3 linked regions of the Oreochromis niloticus genome follow. The protein of the gene in region 2 binds, or shares a complex with, the protein of the main gene of each other region. Links are inferred from orthologs where the notes say so. Each region holds a gene or a part of one and is shown on either strand. Other genes may lie near its edges.

Region 1 (7,486 bases), on a different chromosome or scaffold from region 2:
AGTCACAAATAAAAGGTATTATTAAATGAATACAACTGATAGTATCATGTGTACAGTCACCTCTTTGCACAGGTTAATGTTTCTCAGTAATTTGTCCAGTACACATAAACTATTAAATAGATCAACAGAGCTTGCCCATTGTGGTAGGTTCAATGGAATTTTAGCATCAGCGAAACAGCTGTGTGTGTTCCTGGTTTGAGTTTTACCTGGCAAATTCTTTCCCAGATCTCATCACAGCCAGCCTTTTCCTGGAAACTGAGTGCAAGGTCATAGTTATCTGCTTCTGACCAGACAATCAATGTGTCCTGGAACAAAGACAAAGGATTATTAAACTTTACACACTGACATGCTTAACTCTTTCACAGGAGGCACTTACAGACACACACACACTTATTCATTAAATTGTATGTTAACTGAACACATGCCTACAAATGTACACACACACACACAGGCAGCAAACGAAAATAAAAACGTCAACATTTAACTCCTGCAGACAGAGGATCTTGTGGCTCCGTTATGCCTTCTTGTATGTATTGCTGGCAGGATTTGGGTGCAAATCCTTGAAGTGTATCTGAGGGATAAAGCTTTCTATCCTGGTGGGAATGCACTCCTCTAGCATGACAGTGACTTATCCACAGAGTATGAAAATGGTTTGAACAAAAGTCTACAACAGACAAAGCAAGTTAAACACATGCAGAATATCTTTTTTGTACCTAGCTTCACCAAGGTGGTTATCAACTCTAAGTCAAACGAGCGTTTTCCGATCTAGCTATGACCACATTCACATGAAAGAGGCAGCAATGGCAGCATGACCAACCAGAAACATGAACCGGTCTATTAGCAGCTGAGGGGCATAGTTTATGAATACTATCATGCTATAAAATTAGCATTATATAACATGAAGTAGGTAAACAGATAATACAGACTCGCTGCAACACAACTGCTGCAGCCAAAACAACAGTGTCAGTCTGTGTGAGAAGAAAAGCACTGTGTAGTATTGTAGTATTGTTATATATGTCTTAAAGTAATAATGATTAAAGTATCAAAGTAAATAGTAAAGTGTGTACAAATTCTGATAATTTAAGGCAACAAACTTACTGTCAAAGATCTGGGAAGACCTCATTACTATATTACAATAAAAAGAAGCTAATCACATTTAGATTTGCTGCTTCTTTCACTCAATTTGAAATAGTCTAAGGGCAAGTAGAGACAAAATTTAACAAAATAAAATTTTTCAAACAGGTAAGCAGCCAACTTGCAAATGTTTCATGACGTCAGAAACGAAAAGGTTTAAATTCTCTGTTTTAGTATCATTTCAACGTATTACAGCCTACACAACAATAAAGTTGTTTTAATATTGTTTGCAGTCAACAGGAAAGAAGCAAGGAATAAAGTTGCCCCCAAGAATCTCTATTTCTTACCGATGCTGATCTGAGACAAACTTCAGATTCTCTTACTATCTGCACACTAAGCTCTAATTGATCTTCCATGCATTATTTCATAGAAATAATTGTTCCATGGGATCCAATTGATCTCTTGTCTCAAACATGACCCTTTCCTGAGGAGATTAGGTGTGGAGTGTAAATTACCAGAGTAATCTATTTCATAAGAAGTAAACCACCTCCAAAACACCGGAAATCCAGGAATAAACCTGAAGTTAGCCAGACTCGACCTTAATCATTAATAATGCTATAAATTTTTAGGTCATATAAAAGTGTCATATCACAATAACACTGATACATAAAAAAAAAACACAACAACAAAACACGCCTCAACATGTCTGAGAACAAGAGCTGCTGTCAGCCTCCAGTACCTAAAAAAAAGGAAGTTATTCAACCTTCAACAAAGAGCAGTAATTTTAAAGACATGCAAAAATATTTAGAAAAAGGTGGAAAATATTTTTCTTTATTTATGAGACAATATTGTGCAGCTCCTGAAGAGTTACAAGGTTAAGGTTAAGTTGAATTAGTTAAAGGTTTCATTAACTACAGCAGCTCACTGTTAAAGGAGGGTGGAAATTGTCTTTCAGACACTTACCTATAAATGCGGGAAGACTTCTTATTTATGCCATAATTCTAATGACACCTTAATTTACAAACAGGTGTGGCGCATGTGTGGTAATTACTCATGGCATTACCCGATTATTACTCGATACCAAGTTTACAATTGCATCAGTCAGCCAATTTCTACTGTCTCGCCTAGATTACAGTAACTATCCAGCAGCAGATCTCAAACCAGTGTTGGGATTATTGAAATGTGTGTGCTATCTGTAACTGAGCCAGACTCAGGTAATAATAAAAACTTACCTGTTGTTTCTGATATGCAGTATTAGGACTTATCTTCGATTCCAATAGCAGTGATCCTAAAGCACAGAGATATAGGTGACTAAATATTCAAGCCAGTTAGAAAACCGGTTCTTTAAAGACGAGGTTTGTTATTCTGTCTAGAAATAAACAGTTATGGCTATGCAAATACACACACAAAAAACAATCGAATTAAACTAAAATGCTCAAACACAAAGGTAAAATAACTACAACAGGCCTTGGGTTCTACTGTAATAACCTTATGTACTTTCTTTGTCACATACATGAACCACAAAGAGCAATAACAAGTTTATACGTTCAGACTTTCAGGGGCACCATGCTACCGAGATCCCGTCGGACCAAACTAATGAGCATGCTAGCAACAGCTATTCAATAAATATTTGCAATTTATTGAGAGACGTGCCTAATATTAACAGTTCTGGCACTATGACGGTGAAGTCTGCCCCACATGTAGAAAAAAAGTCTAATAAGGTAATCTGGTACCCACTGTGGGCAATCGAAGCGCTCTCTCCGAACAACCAGGAGTTAGCATGCTAACCACCGTAACAGCTATGCTAACAGGGAACTTACCGTCCGATTCAGCCCGAACTAATAACGATATCCCCCTCAGTCGTTCGACAAATGTAGACGAAACGTGCCCGGTACCCCGATCATCCCATTGCCGATCTTCATTCAGCGTATATACCTTCACTCGCCGCCGAGTGTCCGACATGGTTTAAACGAGTCGGAGCTAGCAGGCTAGCTTTCTGCTAACAAGCTATCACCTCACCCGTCTAGTGTTTTCCTCGACCTGTTAACTTTGTTTCCAACCGCATGTTATAAAACATGCATGTTTAAATTTAGTTCCCAACAGCAGCAAAATATATTAGTAGGTATTTCATAAACATATTACGACGTGAATCTACTTATTAAGGGGCCTAATATTAAACTGTAAAATTCTGAGAGAACACAACAACTCTAACGGCCTTCTTGCTAACGTCCACAGACCGCCATCTTGTAATCCGATCTTGTGTTCTTTTTCTTTTTCTACGTCAATCAAGCGCTAACTGCCGCGGGGTCTCCTCCCCCGGGCGGCATCGTCCAATGGCAGAACTGCGGCTCCCCCAGCTCACCGCGTCACCTACGGTGGAGATAGGTAATAGCACCCACAGTCGTTTGCAGATGTTGGCATGATGTACAGATGTGATTTGGTTCAGCTTGTTTAATTCATAGAGGAAGCAGATACTTACTTAACGCAGAAGATTAACAGAGTTTTTCACGTTAATTAATCACAATCATAACTGCCAATTTTTTTTTTTTACACAAACGAGGAATTTTTCTTGGAAAAAGCAACACTTCAAGCCATGATCTACAGAGAAAGAGAGAAAGGAATAAAATCTTAATGTTTTTTTTGGCATAAATTCCTAGACTTCTAGGAAAATATTCTTCAGACTAATGAGACAAAAGATTAACTTTTTGGTAAGTAAAACTATCATTTAATTAAAAGACTATCAAAGCAACAGTCAAACATGGTGACGGTAGTGTGATGGTCCGGGGCTGGTTTGCTGCTTTATGACTTGGAAAATGCAGCTGATGAAACCGTGAAGTCTGTCCTCTACCAGAAAATCATGAAGGAGAATGTCCAGCCATCTGAAATTTTAGCAGACTTGGGTTATGTGGCAAGACAATGATCCAAAACACCAAAACTTCACTCAATGTCACAAAAAAAACAAAAACAAAACAAAGGTTTGGAATTGGTCTATTCAAAGTTGGGACCTAAATTAGATGCATGACCTTAAACAGGCCGTTCATGTTCAAATAACTCCCAACATGACTGAATTAAAACTATTCTGCAGAGAAAGGTGAGCCACAGAGGATCATCTGCCTCCATCACAGTCCATCCTCCTGTCACACCAACCTTCCTCTGCATCCATGAATCTTCTCGGAGGTCATCCTCTTGTCCTCCTGTCTGGCAAGCTCCATCTTCAACATCCTTTGTCCAACATATCCACAAATTACCTCGACAGTCACTCCACCCTGCGTATACTGTCTTGTTCACTGTCCGTTGTTTTGGATGGTAGCCCCGAGGTATTTAAACTCATGCACATGTATTCTGTCTTGCTTCTACTGATTTTCATTCCTCCTCTCTCCAGCTCTGTAGGCCCTTCCTGATGCAACCCTACATATTAGGACTAAGACTTTTAGATTAAGGCTGAACAGAGAAACACTTAATTCTTCTGTAAGACTCCAAAGAGTTATTAGATCTTTCCCTGTCCAATATTATGCAATAAATTGTTTTAAATAAATGTTGAAATTTTACAGCTCTCCTGTTATCATCTCCACCATCCAGTTTCTTTTAAGGACCCACTGGATGAACCTTTCCTATTGTGAAGCAAATGTCTTTTTTAAAACATGCTGAAGCAGTACCTGTGTGCCTGCATGTGGCCACTGAAACATGCAATTAAATCAGCTTTTTATTAAGAAAATTTGACAAGCATGCACTCAGTACATTCTGGCATGGTTGGAAGGTGTTTTGTTGACTTAAAGACATGAATAAAGCAATCATTAATGACTTTATTTACATATTACGTCTCCATACTGCTACTCCTTTTAGATGCTGCCATAGTGGATCATCTGCCTTCAGCTCACCCTATCGCTTACATCCTTCTCTGCCACACGAGCTCTCTGCAGGTCCTCCTTCTCTACATTAATGAAGCTTCTCTTTTCCTCCTTTCTGGCAGCTCCATAATCCCGACACAGAAAGTCCCAACTCTCATTTCCAAACCTTTCCTTCTCTCCTGCTGCCTCCCTCTTTCCTCTTTCTTTGTCCTTGCACAGCAGTTTCCACCAGCACCCTGCTGGTCAACAGCACCATTGGTAGTCGTTCATTCTTGACGATCCACATATTTGATTTGAAGATTTTACATCGGATCCCCTTCCTGACCTATTTATCCATGGTTGGTAACAGCACTAGGAGTACACTGGCATGTGGCCCACCCGTGGCTGGTTATTTATTTACATTTTAGTTACTCACATATAATATAAATGCGACACCATATAAAGATTAAGAAAACACCTCTCTTTAACACGTCACCCACTTGCCTTTCTTTTCTTTAGTGGACACACTGCTACAGCACATACCAAATATGCCTCAAGAGGCAACATTATCACACACGTGAATGACAGAAGCACTGTTGTTGTGTAATGAAAGAAAAATCTTAAAACTTTGATACAGTCAAACAACAGAGCATGAAAATGGGTAGACACTTGTATTTTTGAAAATGTTTGCCTCCTCGTCTTATCCCTTTGTTTGTGCAAATTCTCCGAGGCATGATGTCAGCAGCATTTTTGCCACATCCATACTCTCAGCAGCGGAGTAACCTTCTTTATGTATAGTTCATAACAAGATCTGTTGTTTGAAAAGGGAAATTTGACTCAGTCCAAGTCTACTCTGACAGAAAAGCCAGAAGTTAGGCAGTCATGGGGGAGTGTCACGAATCTGTACTGGTCGTCTGCATGTCGCTTGAACCCATGGAGATGCTCTGTTTGTCATTCAGTCTCTTTACGACGCTTGCAGCAGTAGACTGGAGCACCTTCCGTGAAAGCCTCATTCTGCCATCTGTTGGGTCCCGTCCAAAATACTTGACCTGTTAGCAGAACACAGTTTAGATACAAGCATCCCAGACTGAAATTAGCAATGCCTTGTCTGCAGTAACCGAGACGCACCTGTATCTCCTGTCCCACCTCTAAACCCAAAGCACTTGGATGTTTGATCTAAAAGGAAAATAAAGGAAGTGACTTAAGTAAAAATTCTACCATCAGACTCAAAAGGAAAACCATTTTACGCAGACAAATTCACAAACCCGTTTGTGGTCCAGCTGCGAGTTGTGCAGCAGGACAGGAGTCATGTTGGGATAAAGTTTCACCATCACGCCAATGTCCCTAAAGCAGAGGAGCAGAAGAACAGATGAGCTGTATGAAGGCTGCAAGATTTTATTTATACATAAATCAGTTTCCAAGTGTGGGGAAATAACTGTAAACAAACACTGTTTGTTGGTAAATAACGCATTGTTTTAGTTTACCTTATTTCTGTGATGGTGGCAGTGTAGATAGCACCAAACTCCAGCTGCTGTTCTTGCTGCAAAACAAAGAAATACACCAATTTTCACCTACATACATTATGAATATGTGTAATATGTGTAAGCAGTTGTTCTTAATGTTTTGATTTGTTTATCCAGGTAATGTTTGCATTGTGGTATAAAACAGCAATTGAGTTTATAAATGTGCATAAAAGGGTGCAAAGAAACTATCAGAATATAGAAATATAGAAATATAAAACCTCTTTCCTTGTTTTATTAGAGCATGCTGAGAGCTTTCCTGTTTTTTTAAGTGTATTGATCAGGATTATTTCTCTTATTTCTTTGTTTAAATGCCATCTTGCTTAAGCTTTATACTATATTTCTCTTTTTTTAATTTGTTTCGGGTTCTCTGTAGAGCACATTTTAACACAATTTTTGAAAGGCTCTGAATAAAGACAGAAGGTAATTACAAGAGGGGGAGACTCACATCGTCTTTGCAGATCTCGCTGATGAAGTGTTGGGCTTCGTTCATGGCTCCTGGTGTTGGAGCGAACACGGAAAAAGTCTCCTCGTCTACCTGACTTATTGTCACACCTGAAACCAAAGAAGAAAATGTGGTGACGTTTTTATATTCTGGACAACAGTTTCTATTATGAAAAAACGAATCTGTGTGCTGCTGGATTAGCATCACGTCACCATCACATTCCAAGTTGCCTTTTTCAGACTTTATTACTTATGCATTACCTGTTTGAGCTTGAAGCCTGCGGAGGTTGTAGCCTCCAGGGCCAACAAAGCGAGCTCGCCTTGAGACAGGTACTCGAACATTTTCTGAAGACAGAAAACATCACATATTGGAACAGATGACATTAAAAACTTTCTATTAAATATTGCATATTTCTGTATACATACATATTCATGCATAACCTACCAACAACAGGTCCATTCTCTTTCCTGCTCTCTCTGGGTTTTGCTATGCATTTGTTCATAATGCCCAAGATTTCCCTCTTTGCCACTGAAACACAACAACAGGCAAATGCCACAAAAGAGCCATGCAAATAAAATTTTAATACAGGGTATATTTCTCAGTTTTGGGCCTACCTGTGG
Region 2 (8,450 bases):
CTCTCTCTCTCTCTCTTTCTTTCACACACTCTCAAAGCTGATCCTGATTTTCCTTCAGCCTCTTCTTTTTATTTAAAAAGATAGAAAAACCTGAGCATAAAATTGATTTTTGAGCCACTAATTCACGCTGCTCTTGGCAGAATGTTGATTTTTACCTGGCTGCATCTTTGTTACTAAATTACAGCCCATTGTTAATAAATCATCCTACAATTACAGGGATGAGGTCCAAAGACTGCTAGGGTAGTGTGCAGACAACAACTTAATCCGTAACACCCCTAGACCAAAGAACTGATCACTGATTTCAGGAGGAGGAAGTCCAACCTGCAGCACATCTACGTCAATAGAGTGGATGGAGAGGGTGTCCAGCTTCAAGCTCTTGAATGTGTATATCAGAATCAGAATCAGAATGCTTTATTAATTCTGATTCTGATATGGACACAGACCTCCAATGGAGCTCAAACACCTTGGAAATTGTGAAGAAGGCCTTTGAGGGTGTGGTGATGTATTGCATCTCTGTGTAGTTCTTGAGCCGCAGCATGGCACACAAGAAGGCATATTTATAATTGAGCTATTTGTATATATTAGAGCTATTTCTTATATTATGTAAACTTTGGATTATATAGTATTATTTACTATCTGTTACTGTTATTGTCTTGGATCAACTGTAACCCACACAATTTCCTTATTAAAGTATTCTGATTAAAAAGGGTTGCTAACATGGCCTAGAAAATCACTGAAGGACCGCTGTAACATCCGCTGTCTCAAAAAGGCACGCAACATCTTGCAGGACTGCACAAACCCAGGACACCAGGTGTTTAAGCGTCTGCCCTCTGGCAGTTATCTTGTGTATACGGTATTTATTTATTATTTTTTTGCTTGTCTCCATCATCACTGATCCCACCTGACCTGAAGTAAACATGACTCCTAAAGCCTCTAATACAACAAAGGACATTACTAATGATTACTAATGATCACTGATTATACAGAACCTTACACACACTTTGATCTGCTCATATAGATCAGGGGTGGGGAACTCCAGCCCTCAAGAGCCGGTGACCTGCAGGTTTTAGATCTCACCCTGGGTCAGCACACCTGAATCAAATGATTAGTTCATTACAAGGCCTCTGGAGAACTTCAAGACATGTTGAGGAGGTTATTAGCCATTTAAATCGGCTGTGTTGGATCAAGGACACATCTAAAACCTGCAGGACGCCAGCCCTTGAGGCCTGGAGTTTCCCCACCCCTGATATAGATCATAATCTTGAGCTCATACAGCGTTATGCATTCATGGAGCAACAACTCAACCGGAAGTAGTTTTATTCCAGCTGTGTAATGTTCAGATCTCAGCTGTGAGTTTAACAGCTATAAAAACTATAAATATATCAACGGGTTATGGATGAAACCACATAATTTCCTTAGGGATTATTAAAATATTCTAATCCTGAAATGGAAAATGCAGCTATGATGAATGTTCTCATGATCTGCTTCACTTTGTTTAATATGTTGACTGTTTTCATGAACGATCAGATGCTATGAATTAAGATTTGGCTTTTTCTCCTCCCTTTCATAAAGGATGCTCCAGTGTCTCCTCTGCTAAAGGAAGCAATAAAGGAAGCACTGAAGCTCCTTTCCTTAGTGTTTGGAGAAATGGAACAGCTCTTGTTATGGGCGCAACACAGATAATTCCAGGTTACGTCTGTCAATGAGGAACTGTCCTGAGCGTTTGCACGTGCAGGAAGGTCATGAGAGGACACGGAGAAGCTCACCTGAGGTCTGACTGACCACTGTCACCCATAACAACACATACACATGCACACAGTGTAGGTGTGTTTGTCGTCATCGCATCAGCTTTCTCCCGTAAGAACACCCAAGCTCCGCCTCCCCCCCCATTGTCATCATGGTGAAACCCCGCCCACACAGCTACAGGTGTAAGAACCAGGCAGCGCGTTTCTTTTCAGTTACTGATCAGTCATGATTAGCGACTGTCTTAAATTAGATCAGAGACAGCTTCACTCTGTTTCTCATGATTACTGATTAATCGACCAGTTATTGGCCGTTTTTCTCGGTGCACCTCAGACCTATCTGTCTCTCTGCAGACAGACAGGCGGACTAACTGCGTCATGCTGCGGGTCTCCCTTCTGCTTCTTCCACTGAGACTGCTGATCTTCCTCCCACTAACTCACCCTCCTCCTCATCACTTTACGTCTCTCTCTCTCACACACACACCCACCTTCAGGCTCCTACGGATCGGCCTCTCGATGAAGGCGAGTTCCTGCAGCTCCTCCAGCGGGCCGCACAGCACGCCAGCTGGGCTCAGGGCCATCCTGCCGGGTAACATCTGGCTGCTAGAGGGGGAGCAGTCGTATCAGCTCCGACCATCCCTGTTGAGGGGGCGGGGGTTGCGGATCTGTCACTAACCGTTTCCAAGGAGATCCCTGCTCGAGCTGAACGTCACTCCAGACTCCGTTCAAAAGTCTGACAAAGTCTCACGAATGCGCTCATTTGCACACGATGAGGGCTATCAGAGATCCCAAACAAAACCCGTCCACACACTCACGGCACGATCTGCGGTTCGGCGCTCACAGAACTGCGATTCCTCCAGAAAAATCCCCCCTAACATCCCAAACCGTCACACCGTTACCGGGATGTGTCACACGTTTCCAAGCAGATCAAGTGCAGCGCAGAGAAGCCGCAGCCAGACTGCATGTAAAAAGCTCCAGTTAACTCTTTTATTCCCCGAGGACTCTTCATTCACACCACCCTCAGTCCAAAACTCCGCACACGAAATTTATTCGGAGTAAATCTAAAGACTGAATGTAGGAAACCGCACAAACCGGGCGCGGGATGAATCAGATGGACCCCCTCTCTGGTTCGGCGCACATCTCCAAATATTCTGACGAAGTCCAGATCTTCTCCACCTGCTTCAGCTCAGGGTTGCGGTGGGAGCGTCACGCAGAACTGCGGCTGCGCTCCTCCGTGCTCCTTTGAGTCCGTCATCCTCGACAGTGCACAACCGAACCGAATCGCCCACTCTGTTGGTCTGTCATACGCAGACTGGTACCGGGCAGCGTCAAAGCTCAGAGACGGTATGAGGCTGATTTTCACACCAAAGGACGAAGAGGAGGAGGCTTCATCACCGTGAGTGACACGTGGGCAGCAGAGCGGGCTGAGCCAACCTAAACGGAGTCATGAGGCTGCAAGCCCGACCTGAACCGGGACCGGGAGATGAGCTGCAGGGTGTTAAGCTGGAGACGCAGTGCAGCAGCTGATCCGTCTCCATGGAAACGGCTGTCCGTGCTCATTCATAAAGTCCAGAACGTGTCTTCGATCCAGAACCCGCTCTCATTCTGAGCTGTCCCATCACCTGTAAACGCACCTGAAAGTTCAATAACCATCAAATAAAACTATCCACGTCACGTGCTTCAGATCCGCACTCATTTGTTTTATTTTGCAGGGTCAGGTGTTTCACTTTCTGCATTCAGGTTTTTCGTCTTTTTTCTGAAATGTTTTTTTTTTTTCACGTGAACATGAAGCTCACAGCTTATGTGATGAATGCCTCACCTGTCAAGCTCTGAGATTGTTTCCTGCTCTGTGTTCAATCACCATTTTAGGCCAGGTAATCACAGGTTAGCCCTGTTGGCCCTTTGTTAGATGCTAAGAGGTTTCTGAATGACCTGTAGTTGGGACAGAGCAGGCAGGTGAGCCACTTAAGTTACACTTACTGTCATACCGAGACAAAAACACATAATGCAAACAGATGGGGACAGGTGAGACCAGACAGACAGGAGGAGAAGGAGGAGGAGGAGAAGGAGGACAGGGGCTGACCTTCAGCTGCAGTCTCAGTGTCAGAGTTGGCTGACGATCCGGCTCATGAAAGCTCAGAGTTGATCAGACCTTCGGACTCTGAACCAGGACCTTCTGCTGCAGACCAGAGAGTGCTGCTTCCTGATTGGATTGTTTCACAGGTAGTACCCAATCAACAGTTTGTTTTATTTTATTTTTATATGTTTGAATATGGGGAACTTCAAACCACACTTGAATCCACTTTAATGTTGTTTTGTTTTTATCATCAAATTTAGATTTAAATCAAACAGTCAGTTCTGTGTTTACCAATTTTTAAATGATTCTGATTTAGAATTAATTTAGGTTAAATTTGTGTGTTTGAAATCATTGAATTTAAATCTGTGAGATGGGTTAGTAGTTGAGTCTTTCAAATTTTATCAGGCTGCTGTTGACCGACCGGGTTTAAAGGATTGATAACACAAATCAGTTAGTAGTTTTCTGGGCTGTTGTGAGCCTGGTTATGTGCATCGATCCTGTTTCCATCTGTGTTGTTGGTGGAGGCTGTTTTTCGGGTGCAGGACAGTAGATATTGCTGACACCAGCTCTCACAGTGTTTGAATTTTTGGCTTCAGCTTGGAGGAAACAAACACCGCTGACCCACAGTCTTGACATCATTCAGCAGCAGCTGAGGCCAAAACGCCATCACCTTGGATGACCCACTGCTGTCCACACGCTGCTGGCGTTAACGAGAAACACAGACAGCAAACCGTTTCCTGTTCCTCTGTCTGACATGGCAGTCTCTGAGCAGAACCTGGATGACTACAGCATCTACAGTCACCTGGCAGATGAGGAGCTGCTGCAGATCGCTGTCGAGAGAAGCTTGTCTGATAAACAGGCTTCATCATCATCATCATCAGGCCCAATCCAAACAAACCCTAACCCCACACACAGAGGTCCTGACCCCTCCAAAAGGGTGCAAACGGTTTCTGCACCTGAACCTGTCCCCCACATCCAAAACTGTATAAACCCTCCCACAGCCCTGTCACAGTTTCTCTACAAGGTCTACAAGAGGTGAGTCAGTTCGGAATGAAATGGAGCTCAGAGGATGGAAACATCCGCAAACATCAGAAAGCAGCAAGAGATCAATAGACATTTCAGAGTGAGTGTCAGACAGTCTGGAGATGGTTGCAGGGTGTGTGTGTGTGTGTGTGTGTGTGTGTGTGTGTGTGTGTGTGTGTGTGTGAGGAGGTGGGAGGGCTTGTTTCTGACTTGTGGTTCTAACTCTGTGTTAGTTCTTGCTCTGTGCTTGTGACTCTGTCGTTCTACTCTTGTTCTGTGTTTGTTCTGACTATCTGTTGGTTCTGTTATCGTGGTTTTGACTCTGTGTTGATTCCAGCGCAGCGGCTCTGTGTTGGATCTGACTCTGGTTCCAAGTCTGTCGTTCTGAAGGTTTGTGTGTTCCCTCAGAGAGGTCAGTCCGTTACAGTCCATCATCATGAGTGGGGATGCAGAGGCTCTGATGGAATTGGTCCGGAGGCGGTTAAGCAGCCTTATGGAGCCAAATGATGAAGGCTGGATCGCTCTTCATGAAGCTGCTTATTATGGACAGCTGCAGTGCATTAGGATCCTGGTCAGAGGTCAGGACACCTACTGCTTTCTGCTTCTCATTAAGCCTCTAACAACGCTACTTACCTTACTTCAGGAGTTAAAGGTGATCTTAATCACCAATAAAGCTTTACTTTGTGTTTTATGTGAAGGTTGATTTGTCATCTGTATTTCACATTAAAAAAACTTCTGCTTGAACAAAAGCTTGAGCTACGGTTGGGCAAACCCTCCAGTTTTATGTCTGTAACATGACATCTGACTTCAGATGTTTCCTCTTCAGATTTTCAGCTTCATTCACCTGCTTATGTTTTTATATCCACACTGTTCATTCATGATGGAAAAATGTGCTGATATGCAACAAAATGTTAGGCTCCTTTATTAATTTACTCTAAGGGTGACATGATCATAAGCTTCTGGGAAATCCAGATTTTTGTGTCCTGTACATGGACCCATTTTAATTGTACATGTAGTTAAAATGGTTAACTTGTTATATATAGTAAGATAGTAAAAATAAAAGAGTGAGTATATTAACATTAAAATAGCAAATATACAAGTTAAATACACATAAATACAGTTCTGCCAAAAAGGGCTCTTGCTGGTAGGTAGCAGCAGCCCTTGAGTGTGGGTGTTATTGTATATTGTGCCATGTCATGCTGGTGTTTTGCACTATGATGTAATGTTAAATTTGGCAACATTGTGTGAACATTGTACTGAATATTAACTGGACTATTGCAGGTTGAGGGTTGGTAAGTGAGGCTCACTAGGTCCATTCACTAGGCTTAGTGTTCAATGTTCTGATGGCCCAGGAAAAAAAGCTATTTTTCAGCCTGGCTGTAATGCCTTTTAAACACTGCTACCTCCTACCAGAGGGCATGAGGTGCTGTCCAAGGTGGGACAAGTCAGCGTCGATCTTCTCCTTTTCTCTCCTGAAACGCCAAGTGCTGGCTATGTCCTCTTGAGAGGGTAAGGGATAGCTAATGATCTTTTGTGCTGTCTTAATGACTCTCTGCAGGTTCTTCTTGTCCGCTACTGAGCAATTAACATACGAAACTGTGATTCAGTAGGTGAGGACACTCTCTATGGTGCTGTGGTAAAAAGCTACCATTAGTTTCTTATCCAGATGGTTTCTCCTCAGCATCCTAAGGAAGTGGAGTCTTTGTTGTAGTTTGTCAGCCAGGATTCCTGGAATGATCGTATTGGCAGAGTTCTTTTTAAAAAAATAACTCAGCCCTTATGTAAATACTAGGCCTCATAGGTGTTTATCCAATCAGTTTTCAGGAATCCCTACCAGCTTAACATTCTTACTTAAATATGGTCACTTTTTACTTAAAGAAAAAAACAAAACAAAACCCGCAAACCAATGAGTGAGGTCAGAGAGGCTATGCCTGTTATATAGTCAATGGTTTTTCACCACATTTGCTCAGTGATCAGTTGATGTGAGATCTGACCTCTAAACCACAAGACAGACTCTTATGTTGTGGTTAATCACTTCAGGAGAGGTCATGTGGAGGTCAGTGATGCTTCAGCTTCAAGTGTCATAATAGGACAGGATGCTTACATTAAACCATTTGACTAAACTTGCTGAGAAATTAAAGACATCTGTAGACCTTGTTTGTCAGGGCTCTGCGTGCGGGCAGGCGGAGAGGAGGATCCAAGCGCAGGACTCAGACACTAACTTGAAACTCAAAAACCTCAGCTTTATTGCTGGTACGAAAACAAAACATGAAGTGAACACACAGGCACGATCTGATGGTACGACACGACACCGAGCACGGGAAAACACAGGGCTTATATACACAGGGTAGTAATGAGGGAATGGACAACAGGAGGGCGACACAGCTGGGAGAGATCAGGGCTAACGAGACGGGGGGAACCAAGCTGCACACACTAACATAAGACAAAGACTTTCACAATAAAACAGGAAACATGAATTACTAAACAAGAACGCAGACTTGACACTGAGAGACAGAAAACACATGGAACTCAAACAATACATGAAACCACAAATCCTTAAACACAGAAACAAGAAACTAATAATCATCACCATCACAAGAGAATACGAAAACAATCCATCATTCAAAATTAAACCAAACCATAACTCAAAATACTGGGTCCAACGGACCCAGAACCGTGACATTGTTACTGAGAGCAGGTTATAACCGAAGGAAATCTTGTAGGAAAGACTACTGCTACTGCTAAAAGAAGTAATACCATTAGTTAATGATTCAGTCTTGAATATGATCAACCTCTCTCTTATCATTTGCTGTGTACCACAGGCCTTCAAGCTGGTAGTAAATAAACCATTACTTTAAAAGGCATCATTTGACCCTTTAACCAAGGCCAATCTCCAACCTTCCTTTCATATCAAAAGTTCTTGAATGAGCAGTTGTCAAACAGCTAACAGATCATCTGCAGAGGAATGGCTTATTTGAAGAGTTTCAGTCAGGTTTCAGAGCTCATCACAGCACAGAAACAGCTTTAGTGAAGGTTCCAAATGACCTTCTTATGGCCTCTGACAGTGGACTCATCTCTGTACTTGTGTACTTGTCCTGCTAGACCTCAGTGCAACGTTCAATACTGTCCACCATAATATCCTATTAGAGCCATTAGAGCATGCTGTAGGTATTACAGGTACTGCACTGCAGTGGTTTGTATCATATCTATCTAATAGACTCCAATTTGTTCATGTAAATGGAGAGTCCTCTTCCACAGAGTTCCACAGGGTGCTAGGACCAATTCTGTTTACATTATACATGCTTCCCTTGGGCAGTATCATCAGAAGGCATAGCATACATTTTCACTGCTATGCAGATGACACCCAACTGTGTGTGTTATCTGTGAAGCCAGATAACACACACCAATTGGTTAAACTTCAGAAATAGAATAGAATAGCCCTATATTGTCATTGTACATGTACAACAAAATTGTGGGTTACTCATACCATGCCTCAGATTTGTGAGGTGATTGGACAGAGCCTGGGAGTGGGGGGATAGGGCCTGTTTACAGTTGGAATGGCCCAGAGGAAGAAGCTGTTAGTGTAAGTTAGTGTCTGGAGGTGTGGA
Region 3 (8,181 bases), about 14 Mb from region 2:
GGACCTTCTGAGAGCAAGGCCATAACCACATATGCCACTGATATCTCCAAAAGTGCCCAGTCATGCTCCCGCTTTGAAGAAAATCAAGTGATTTTGGTACACAAATGCAGCCTATAGTGTACACCCCAAATAAAGAAAAAAAAGAAAAGAAAAACTAACCACATTATATATTTCATTTAAACATTTTTACCATCACAAATGTTATAGCTCTTGGCCCTGATTTCACTGTCTTTCAGTTTGTTTTTGTGATCTTCACTATGTCATTGTATGCTTTTTTGCCCTGTAAGTCGGGATTAAAACAAAACTAATTTCTTTGTAATTACTCAAATTGAATCATATATCCAATTAATAAATGTTCAGCTATGGTGTAATTTTGAAAAAAAAAAAATGCTTTATTTGCATCTTCATTTCTTGTCGGACATCATTACTGACATGTCAATACACAAGCAGGATAATAGTAAAAGCTACTCTGAGGTGCTCCCAAGTTCACAAGGGGTCACCACAACAGCTAGCTCCAAATGTATGCTGGATGTCTTTCCTGATGCAAACCTGAAGAGATTTGTGTGTCCTCTCAGTGATGAATGAGAGATCTTTCTATGTTATGTGAATGGGTAAACAGCTACACTATAATTGCTACAATTTAGATTTACATTTTTTTACACATGAAATAATTAGCAAGTGAGCTCACAAACTCATTAGGAAGGTAATTTATTAATTTATTTCCCACAAACTTCTGTACAACCAGAAGTCTTTTATGCAGGAGACTTGCAGGGGCTGACAAAGCACTCGGCCCCTGCTGGCCATTAAAAAGTAAGGCACCTTTAGATCGCTTCTCTGCTGACTACACTTTTCAACCTGGATCTATTTTTTTTTACAATGTCTATGATAATTTAAAAGAGAGAATTTAGAATAAATAATGTGTACCTTCACAAACAAAGTCTACTGAAAAAAACCACCTTTTAATCATTACCGTAGCATTATCGGACTTTTATTTTGAAGCCAAAACTATACTTTGGAGGGACTCAATTTTACAACCGGAAGAGTTCTTTTTCACTTCCCCTAAGTTTTTTTTTTAGACCAAACAGCTAAATCGCACGGGGTACTGAGAAGTTACGCTGAATACGATTTTTTTCAGTTTTGCATAGCCAGTAAATAGCGAGGCTTTGCGTTGAAAACAGAGATGGTAAGTGTGCTTTATTTTACATCTAAAGAGCTAATAATTCTCAGTTTAGGCCACACTAGCTTGTGCTAATCACACACAGCTAAGCTAACAAGCGTCGAGGCTAACGCTTTGCAATTCTTGTTAAACACGCATTTTTGCCCACCGCTTCTGTGTTTCTTATAACTTAATTTCATCATCTAATCAAATTACATATTTTTATTAAAGTGAGATGTGGCTGAAGTAACGTTAGGCTGGATGTTTTGTAAAAGACTGATGAAGTCGGTGGTCTGCAGCTGAATGACCATCCTTACACTGGAGTTGGAAAATGTCTGGGCAGAAGGTTACACAAGTTTCAAAAACTCGCAAAAAAAACCTCTAATTAGCTGCCCGATTAAGGTGATTTGGTTTGACACAGAGAAACTGCGTGGCGGTGTGTATTAAACATTATCAATCATTTTACAGTCGCACACAATTTTGCTTGTCCAACCAACCAAGAGACCAGAGGGCCGCACATACGCTGACTATGAGTCAGTTAATGAATGCATGGAGGGTGAGTCTGTTTAATGTTTTCATTCATAATTCATCTCGCAGTTTTTTTTAATATTTACTTTCGTTGTAACAAGTAGTAGCAGCAGATGTAATTGTATTGTATTCATCATCTATTGTGATTCCTCATTCATTTTAAGGGATATTTTTCTCATAGTAAATACATACAAATGATAGGCCAGTAAATAATAAATTCATCCTAGTACCAAGTATTGTTTGTGTATGGGATTATGTGGTTAAGCCTAATTTGTGAAAAAAACAGACTGATAGTAATCACTTTTTAGTTTCTGGAAAGTAAAAAAGAGAACGTGAGAACGGACATGTTTTTTTTGTTTTTTTTAAATTATGTGACTCTTTAAACTATGGACTCAGGAAACCTGAAATTCATTTTTTTTATGTCAACATCCTACTTGTATAGCACAAAAAACTTGTAAACTTGTGCTTACTATAAAAGTTTAAAAACAACAACAACAAAATGTAATAAAGAATACAAAGGGTTTTAAATCTGTTTTTGAATGTCGTGTGTTTGCGGCTCTACATTAATGGATTTTGAACTGCAGTTAAGCTCTATTGAACAGAGATTAATCAAGGTTCACTTACACAAAGAATAATCATTGGTATCATATTCAGAACTGACTGTGATAAAAATACATGAATTTACTCAAGTTATCCATTACGTAGTAATGGGGTTTACAGATAATAAAGGCATTAAAGGGATATGATAAGTAAGAGGTGTTTACAATTGTGTTGTCTGTCTTGAACTGCAGTATACACTTTTCAGATTAAAACTACCTTATTAATCCCAGAGGAAATGATGTGGTCACAGTTGCTTTAAGACAGTAAGAACAGTAAATAACAAATTAATGTACCAGTTAAATACAGGATGTTTCAAAATGGCTCTAATAAATACAGATCGCTCTGATATATAAATATCCCAGGCTATTACACAAAATAAGTATAGGTGATGTGCCCTCTCATCATTTTAACTTTATTTTCTCTGTAAAGGATGTGACATTAACGGTATGCAGCTATTGCTGTTTGTGCACTTCTTTTTTTTTCCTTTCTTTTTTTAAAAAGCTTTTTTGGCTTTATTTTCATGTTCAAAGTGACGCAAAAGGTTTGTTTGTTTTCAGGGTATAAGTATATCACTTTATTCCCTTTATTAGGCCCTCTTTATTTATCCTGTCTTTCTCTTTCACTGAATACTGTACACCGTAATTCGCTATGAATTACTTTTGTTTTTTGCTGTTTTAGCCTTTTCCTGTGGATTGCATTTTTTTGTTGTTGTTTTTGCTGTTTTGCTTCCATTCAGCATGTCATCTGCCTCTCCCCCAGGTGTTTGCAAAATGTATGAAGAGCATCTCAAGAGGATGAATCCAAACAGTCCCTCCATTACTTATGACATTAGTCAGTTGTTTGACTTTATTGATGACTTGGCAGATCTGAGCTGTCTTGTGTAAGTATAATTAGCTGTCTATGAATTTGAATGCAACACAACATTCCCTTTGGATGCATTGGTCACATTTCAATAAAATATTTTACTTTTTATGCAGATATAGAGCTGACACTCAAACATATCAACCATACAACAAAGACTGGATAAAGGAGAAGATATACGTCCTCTTGCGGCGTCAGGCTCAGCAAGCGGCTAAGTCAGTTTGACAGGGGGGATTCTTTCATATTGTACCAAACATGAGGAAGAGAGATTGGAAAAAATTGGGGGATGTGAAAAAAAATTGGGGATTTTCTTTTTGGAATTGTCATCCTTGGCAGCGTGTGTGTGTGTTTGTAATTTGTAATGCAAAGCCCTTTTCAGACATGGTTCCACCACTGTGCTTAAGCGACGGCACTTTTTTCATTCAGACACGTAAGCTCTTTTCACACGTGCACTGCAGCCTGAAGTCTTTCTTGACATTACCTGAGAGAGGTGCATGTAAGAACACAAAGGTGTGATGCAGTTGGATTGGACATTAAATGGATTTCAGCCTGGAACAAAATTCATGTGATGTGCATAGAAACTTAGTAGTCATATTGTGTCTTTTCTATAGGATATTGCTATCATGCAGCTCCCTCGCCTAAACCACATGGAAGGCTTGCTTTTGTGTTACGTGTGAGAAAGAAAAGTTTACACAATGTCCTGATATGCCTGTTCCAACATTTTAAGTTTGTGTGTGACAACGGCTATACTGGCAAAAGTGTCATTGATCTCGCAGGACATTTGCCATACATGAATTCATTCGTATTCATTACCTTTTGAAAGTAATACATTTAAAAAAACTAATAAGGTTAGTTATTTAATTATGAATCTGACATGTGCCATCAAATGGCTTAAAAGGACTACATGTATGAAAAGGGCTTCTTTCTTTTTTTTCTTTGTAAAGACTGCATTGCCCATTTAACAAAGGGAATGTTTTCACATCATGCTCATTGGCAAAAGAGGCTTGGAAAAAATGGGGTGAAATTGTACATTTTGGGCTTTATACTGAAAAATTGGGTCATGGTTGGGAACCTGCATGTTTATAAGTTGTTACACTATGATGAGAAGAATGGGACTTTGTGGGCTAAGCATGGAGAAATACTCCGCGGGGTAGAAAAACTTTCTTTGTGTGTGTTTTTCAGTTTCCTTAAAAGTTATGTGAATTTTATTTTTTTCCCTATGTACATTTTCCTGGGAGGTTGAATTTCAAGACGTTGTGGACTTTGAAAGCAGCCGTTTTATTTTTGAAGTAGATCAGTGGCTGAAGACTGATGATCACATGACAACCCAGGAGATTTGTTACTATAATTAATGGAAAGTTTTGAGTTTTCATTATGTTTTAAAAGCCTACCATTGTGATATAAAACGTTTTTGTAATCCTGTTGTTTTGCATAACATCTGATTTCAACTCTCCATTTCTGTTTTCTTTTATTGAAACAAAATAAACGATTGTTTCTGACTGGTGTCCACTCATAAATATGCGACCATTAGTGCGATGAACACTGAATTTTTATACACAATGATAGTGTGGCTGACTGCTAAGTATTGCAAAAGTTAGACCATTCATGCTGGACGTGGCCTCAAGTTCAGTTTATTTTCTCTGTTACTGTCTCTTTAAATGTGGCGGGCTGCCCTGTTGTTGCCGTGCTGGAAACCCCGTACTGACTGTGAAGGGACCCAAGATGGCTGAATACTCACGGGGGGCACTTAGCAATTATCTGAGCAAGACATCGGCAATGAATGGCAAATAGCAGTATAATGTAAAGCGTAACCTTCAAGTAATTATACGACTCCAGTTTGTTGGTTTGCACAGTTTTTGGGATGCATGAGTAAGAGTAAGGAGAGAGTGGTCTCTCCGCGGCCCCGAGCCAGAACATGGCGGAACACTTGGGGAAGAAATAGCAGCTAACGTTAGCTAGCTGGCGTATTATTTAAAGAAGAATAGAAACATTGTTCCAGGCTTAAAACGGGTGTCTGTTGTCCGCAAGTATAAAGTAATGTTATCGACAGCTAACTCTAGTTAATCTGCTTCAAATGGTAGTTTAACATTGAATATATGGAGCGTAGGTACTTAGCGTACTAGCTAGCGAGTTAACTCGTAAGGGTTGATAGCTAACGTTACCTGTAAGCGTACAAACTGTACATATAAGCAGGAGTGTTTCGTGGGCCAGTCATCGTAACATTTGCTTCTTTTTCAGTACTCTGTTCTCAGCTGTATATTGTAGTGACATTCGTTGTTTTGTCGTTTAACGCGTAAGCTAACGACGTCCTCCGCTCTTTAATTTGTCGTTAGCTTCCTACAATGGTTTGTACGCGGATTCTGCGTGGCGCCTTGCCTATAGTGCTGGCAGTCTAAGTTTTGAGGCAGCTCGTCAAGAAATGCGAGATATTGCAGTAGTAATTTTAACAACGATTGCGGAATCCTGCTGGAAAGTTGTTGAGGCGTTCCACTTTTAAGTTGCTTTTTAGAACTTATCCTAAGTGACCCCCCGCCGCTTCATATTTAGTTAATACTCTTGTAGAAGTGAGCAGCTGTAAAAAGTGAATTGAAGTTGTGGCGTTACTAGGTGAAGAAGACACCCCGTAAAAGGCCCGGAAGGGGAGAACGGGTTACAAGAAACTGCCAGGATGACGGACACTCGTCGGCGAGTCAAAGTCTATACCCTCAATGAGGACAGACAGTGGGATGACCGTGGGACCGGGCACGTCTCGTCGGGCTATGTGGAGCGCTTGAAAGGCACGTCTCTCCTGGTGCGAGCAGAGAGCGATGGTAAGCGAACATAGGAATGCCACGCGATTATTGTAGTAGCTCAGTTATTACTACAAAAACAATACCTTCCGCGCACTAATTTTAACCACCTGTATCACCTGAAATTTGCACATGTATTACTCGTTTGAAGCAAATGCAGTAACCTACAATTTTGGGCTACCTTTGTGTTAAACCTGACAGGTTCCCTTCTGCTGGAGTCCAAAATTAACCCAAACACAGCCTACCAGAAACAACAGGTCAGTACATAACATGATGAACATACAAAACTGAATTTTTTTCCCCATTCTGCTGTTTATTTTAAATTGGCTTTGTTTTTCTTTTGAAAAGGACACATTGATAGTGTGGTCAGAGGCTGAAAATTATGATCTAGCACTCAGTTTCCAGGAGAAGGCTGGCTGTGATGAAATCTGGGAGAAAATATGCCAGGTTAGTGTACTTCATTTGTGTGGGTTTGAGTTTTTTTTTATCTCCATTAGTTTGTGGATTTGATGCTATTTGTGTTACCGGTGATCCCTTATGTAGTTACATCCTGAGGTTCTAATATGTTTGTCCACACTTATGTTTTATTGTTAAGGTGCAGGGAAAGGACCCTTCAGTTGACATCACACAGGATGTGGTGGACGAATCGGAGGAGGAGCGTTTTGATGACATGTCATCCCCAGGTTTGGAATTACCGCCATGCGAACTGAACCGTTTGGAGGACCTGGCCGAGCTGGTGGGCTCTTCTCTCCCATCACCACTGCGACGTGAAAAACTAGCACTGGCTGTGGAGAATGAAGGCTATATTCGCAAGCTCCTGGAATTGTTCCGTGTTTGTGAGGATTTGGAGAACAGAGAGGGACTGCACCACCTGTATGAAATAATGAAAGGCATCTTCCTGCTGAATCGTACTGCACTCTTTGAGGTGATGTTCTCTGATGAGTGCATAATGGACGTCATTGGTTGCCTGGAGTTTGACCCAACACTCCCGCAGCCAAGGCGGCATCGTGAGTTTCTCACTAAAACAGCCCGGTTTAAGGAGGTGATCCCCATCTCTGATCCTGAACTGCGTCAGAAAATTCACCAGACATATCGGGTGCAGTATATTCAGGATATGGTGCTGCCCACGCCCTCTGTTTTTGAGGAAAACATGCTGTCCACCTTGCACTCCTTCATCTTTTTCAACAAGGTGGAGATTGTGGGCATGCTACAGGTGAGATAAGCAGACATGTAGTATGATCTAATAGTATGGAGTTGTTGTTTTTACTTTGTGTAAACACTACATTTTAATTAAAATGGTTTAATTGAAGCAAGTGTTATAAATAGGTAAACTTGTGAATGTACTGTAATCCTCACAAAGGAGAATTTCTTTTATGAAATGTTAGTGAGGCTCGAATTACAGTAATTATAGGATTGTACATTGGTTTTATTTTTGACTGATTGTACTTTTACCCTGTCTGAGATTGTCTGGCAGCCTTTTATGATCATGTGACCTTTGTGTTTTTATCCTGTGTCAACTCAGCATTGTTTATGTATGGCTGTCTCCATGGAGGCACAGTAGTGTTGTGTAAATCTGTTATGCTGCGCTAGAGGAAAACTGAAACGGGCACATTGTTGACTCTGGTGTTCTTTGCTATATCACGCTCTGAAGTCAAACACTACAGATATGAGTCTTTCCTTCCTTAATTAGCATAGGGCAGGCAAGCTTAAATCAAGCGGTTCACTAACCAAGGTTTTAAAAAATATTTAAAGTGGTAGTAGATGTCATTGAATGAGACAGTGTTTTCAGCATAAACAAATCAAAAGTATTCTTATGACCAGATAGGTCACATTGTTTATGCTCCAAATTTCTCATTGACAAACATGATGGAATTCACTTTTGTTTTCTGTGTAATTATGTCGGACTTGTACCATTGTAAACCAATAACAGCTTTGTAACTTGTGAAAATTGGGTGTCTGGCATACATTGACATATTAATCATACTCTTAATACTGACTTCTTAAAATCTCATCTCCCTTTTTTGATGTCAGGACGATGAGAAGTTCCTGACAGACCTCTTTGCACAGCTAACAGATGAGGCCACAGATGATGACAAAAGACACGAACTGGTATATCAGAATTTAATAATTTATTAAAAGTTGTTGCAGTCACAAACTATTAAGATCTTTGTTTTGTTGACCTCTGTTTGTTTATTCCTTTTAGGTAAACTTCCTAAAGGAGTTCTGTGCATTCTCTCAAACATTACA

What was found.
Region 1: ppp4r4 (region 2) and ppp4r3b share a complex: the UniProt entries of both Homo sapiens proteins name them as parts of the PP4 complex. The link is inferred for Oreochromis niloticus from reciprocal best matches to the Homo sapiens genes PPP4R4 and PPP4R3B.
Region 3: ppp4r4 (region 2) and smek1 share a complex: the UniProt entries of both Homo sapiens proteins name them as parts of the PP4 complex. The link is inferred for Oreochromis niloticus from reciprocal best matches to the Homo sapiens genes PPP4R4 and PPP4R3A.

The regions. Positions count from the first base shown.
Region 1 is NC_031978.2:10,561,683-10,569,168, reverse strand, and holds the start of ppp4r3b (serine/threonine-protein phosphatase 4 regulatory subunit 3B), read right to left. Parts: upstream 3,327-7,486; 5' UTR 3,037-3,326; coding exon 2,895-3,036; intron 2,363-2,894; coding exon 2,307-2,362; intron 306-2,306; coding exon 207-305; intron 1-206. Other genes in the region: pnpt1 (polyribonucleotide nucleotidyltransferase 1, mitochondrial), read right to left, coding at 5,795-5,950, 6,030-6,077, 6,167-6,245, 6,386-6,441, 6,870-6,976, 7,127-7,210, 7,311-7,394, 7,481-7,486. UniProt on the Homo sapiens protein: Regulatory subunit of serine/threonine-protein phosphatase 4 (PP4). May regulate the activity of PPP4C at centrosomal microtubule organizing centers.
Region 2 is NC_031980.2:26,952,413-26,960,862, reverse strand, and holds the start of ppp4r4 (serine/threonine-protein phosphatase 4 regulatory subunit 4), read right to left. Parts: upstream 3,254-8,450; 5' UTR 2,339-3,253; coding exon 2,231-2,338; intron 1-2,230. Other genes in the region: ankyrin repeat and SOCS box protein 2, read left to right, coding at 4,574-4,854, 5,251-5,420. UniProt on the Homo sapiens protein: Putative regulatory subunit of serine/threonine-protein phosphatase 4.
Region 3 is NC_031980.2:12,515,380-12,523,560, forward strand, and holds the start of smek1 (serine/threonine-protein phosphatase 4 regulatory subunit 3), read left to right. Parts: upstream 1-4,821; 5' UTR 4,822-5,813; coding exon 5,814-5,955; intron 5,956-6,135; coding exon 6,136-6,191; intron 6,192-6,282; coding exon 6,283-6,381; intron 6,382-6,529; coding exon 6,530-7,147; intron 7,148-7,965; coding exon 7,966-8,043; intron 8,044-8,137; coding exon 8,138-8,181. Other genes in the region: paplnb (papilin b, proteoglycan-like sulfated glycoprotein), read left to right, coding at 1-25; erh (enhancer of rudimentary homolog), read left to right, coding at 1,181-1,183, 1,625-1,712, 3,044-3,164, 3,262-3,370. UniProt on the Homo sapiens protein: Regulatory subunit of serine/threonine-protein phosphatase 4. May regulate the activity of PPP4C at centrosomal microtubule organizing centers.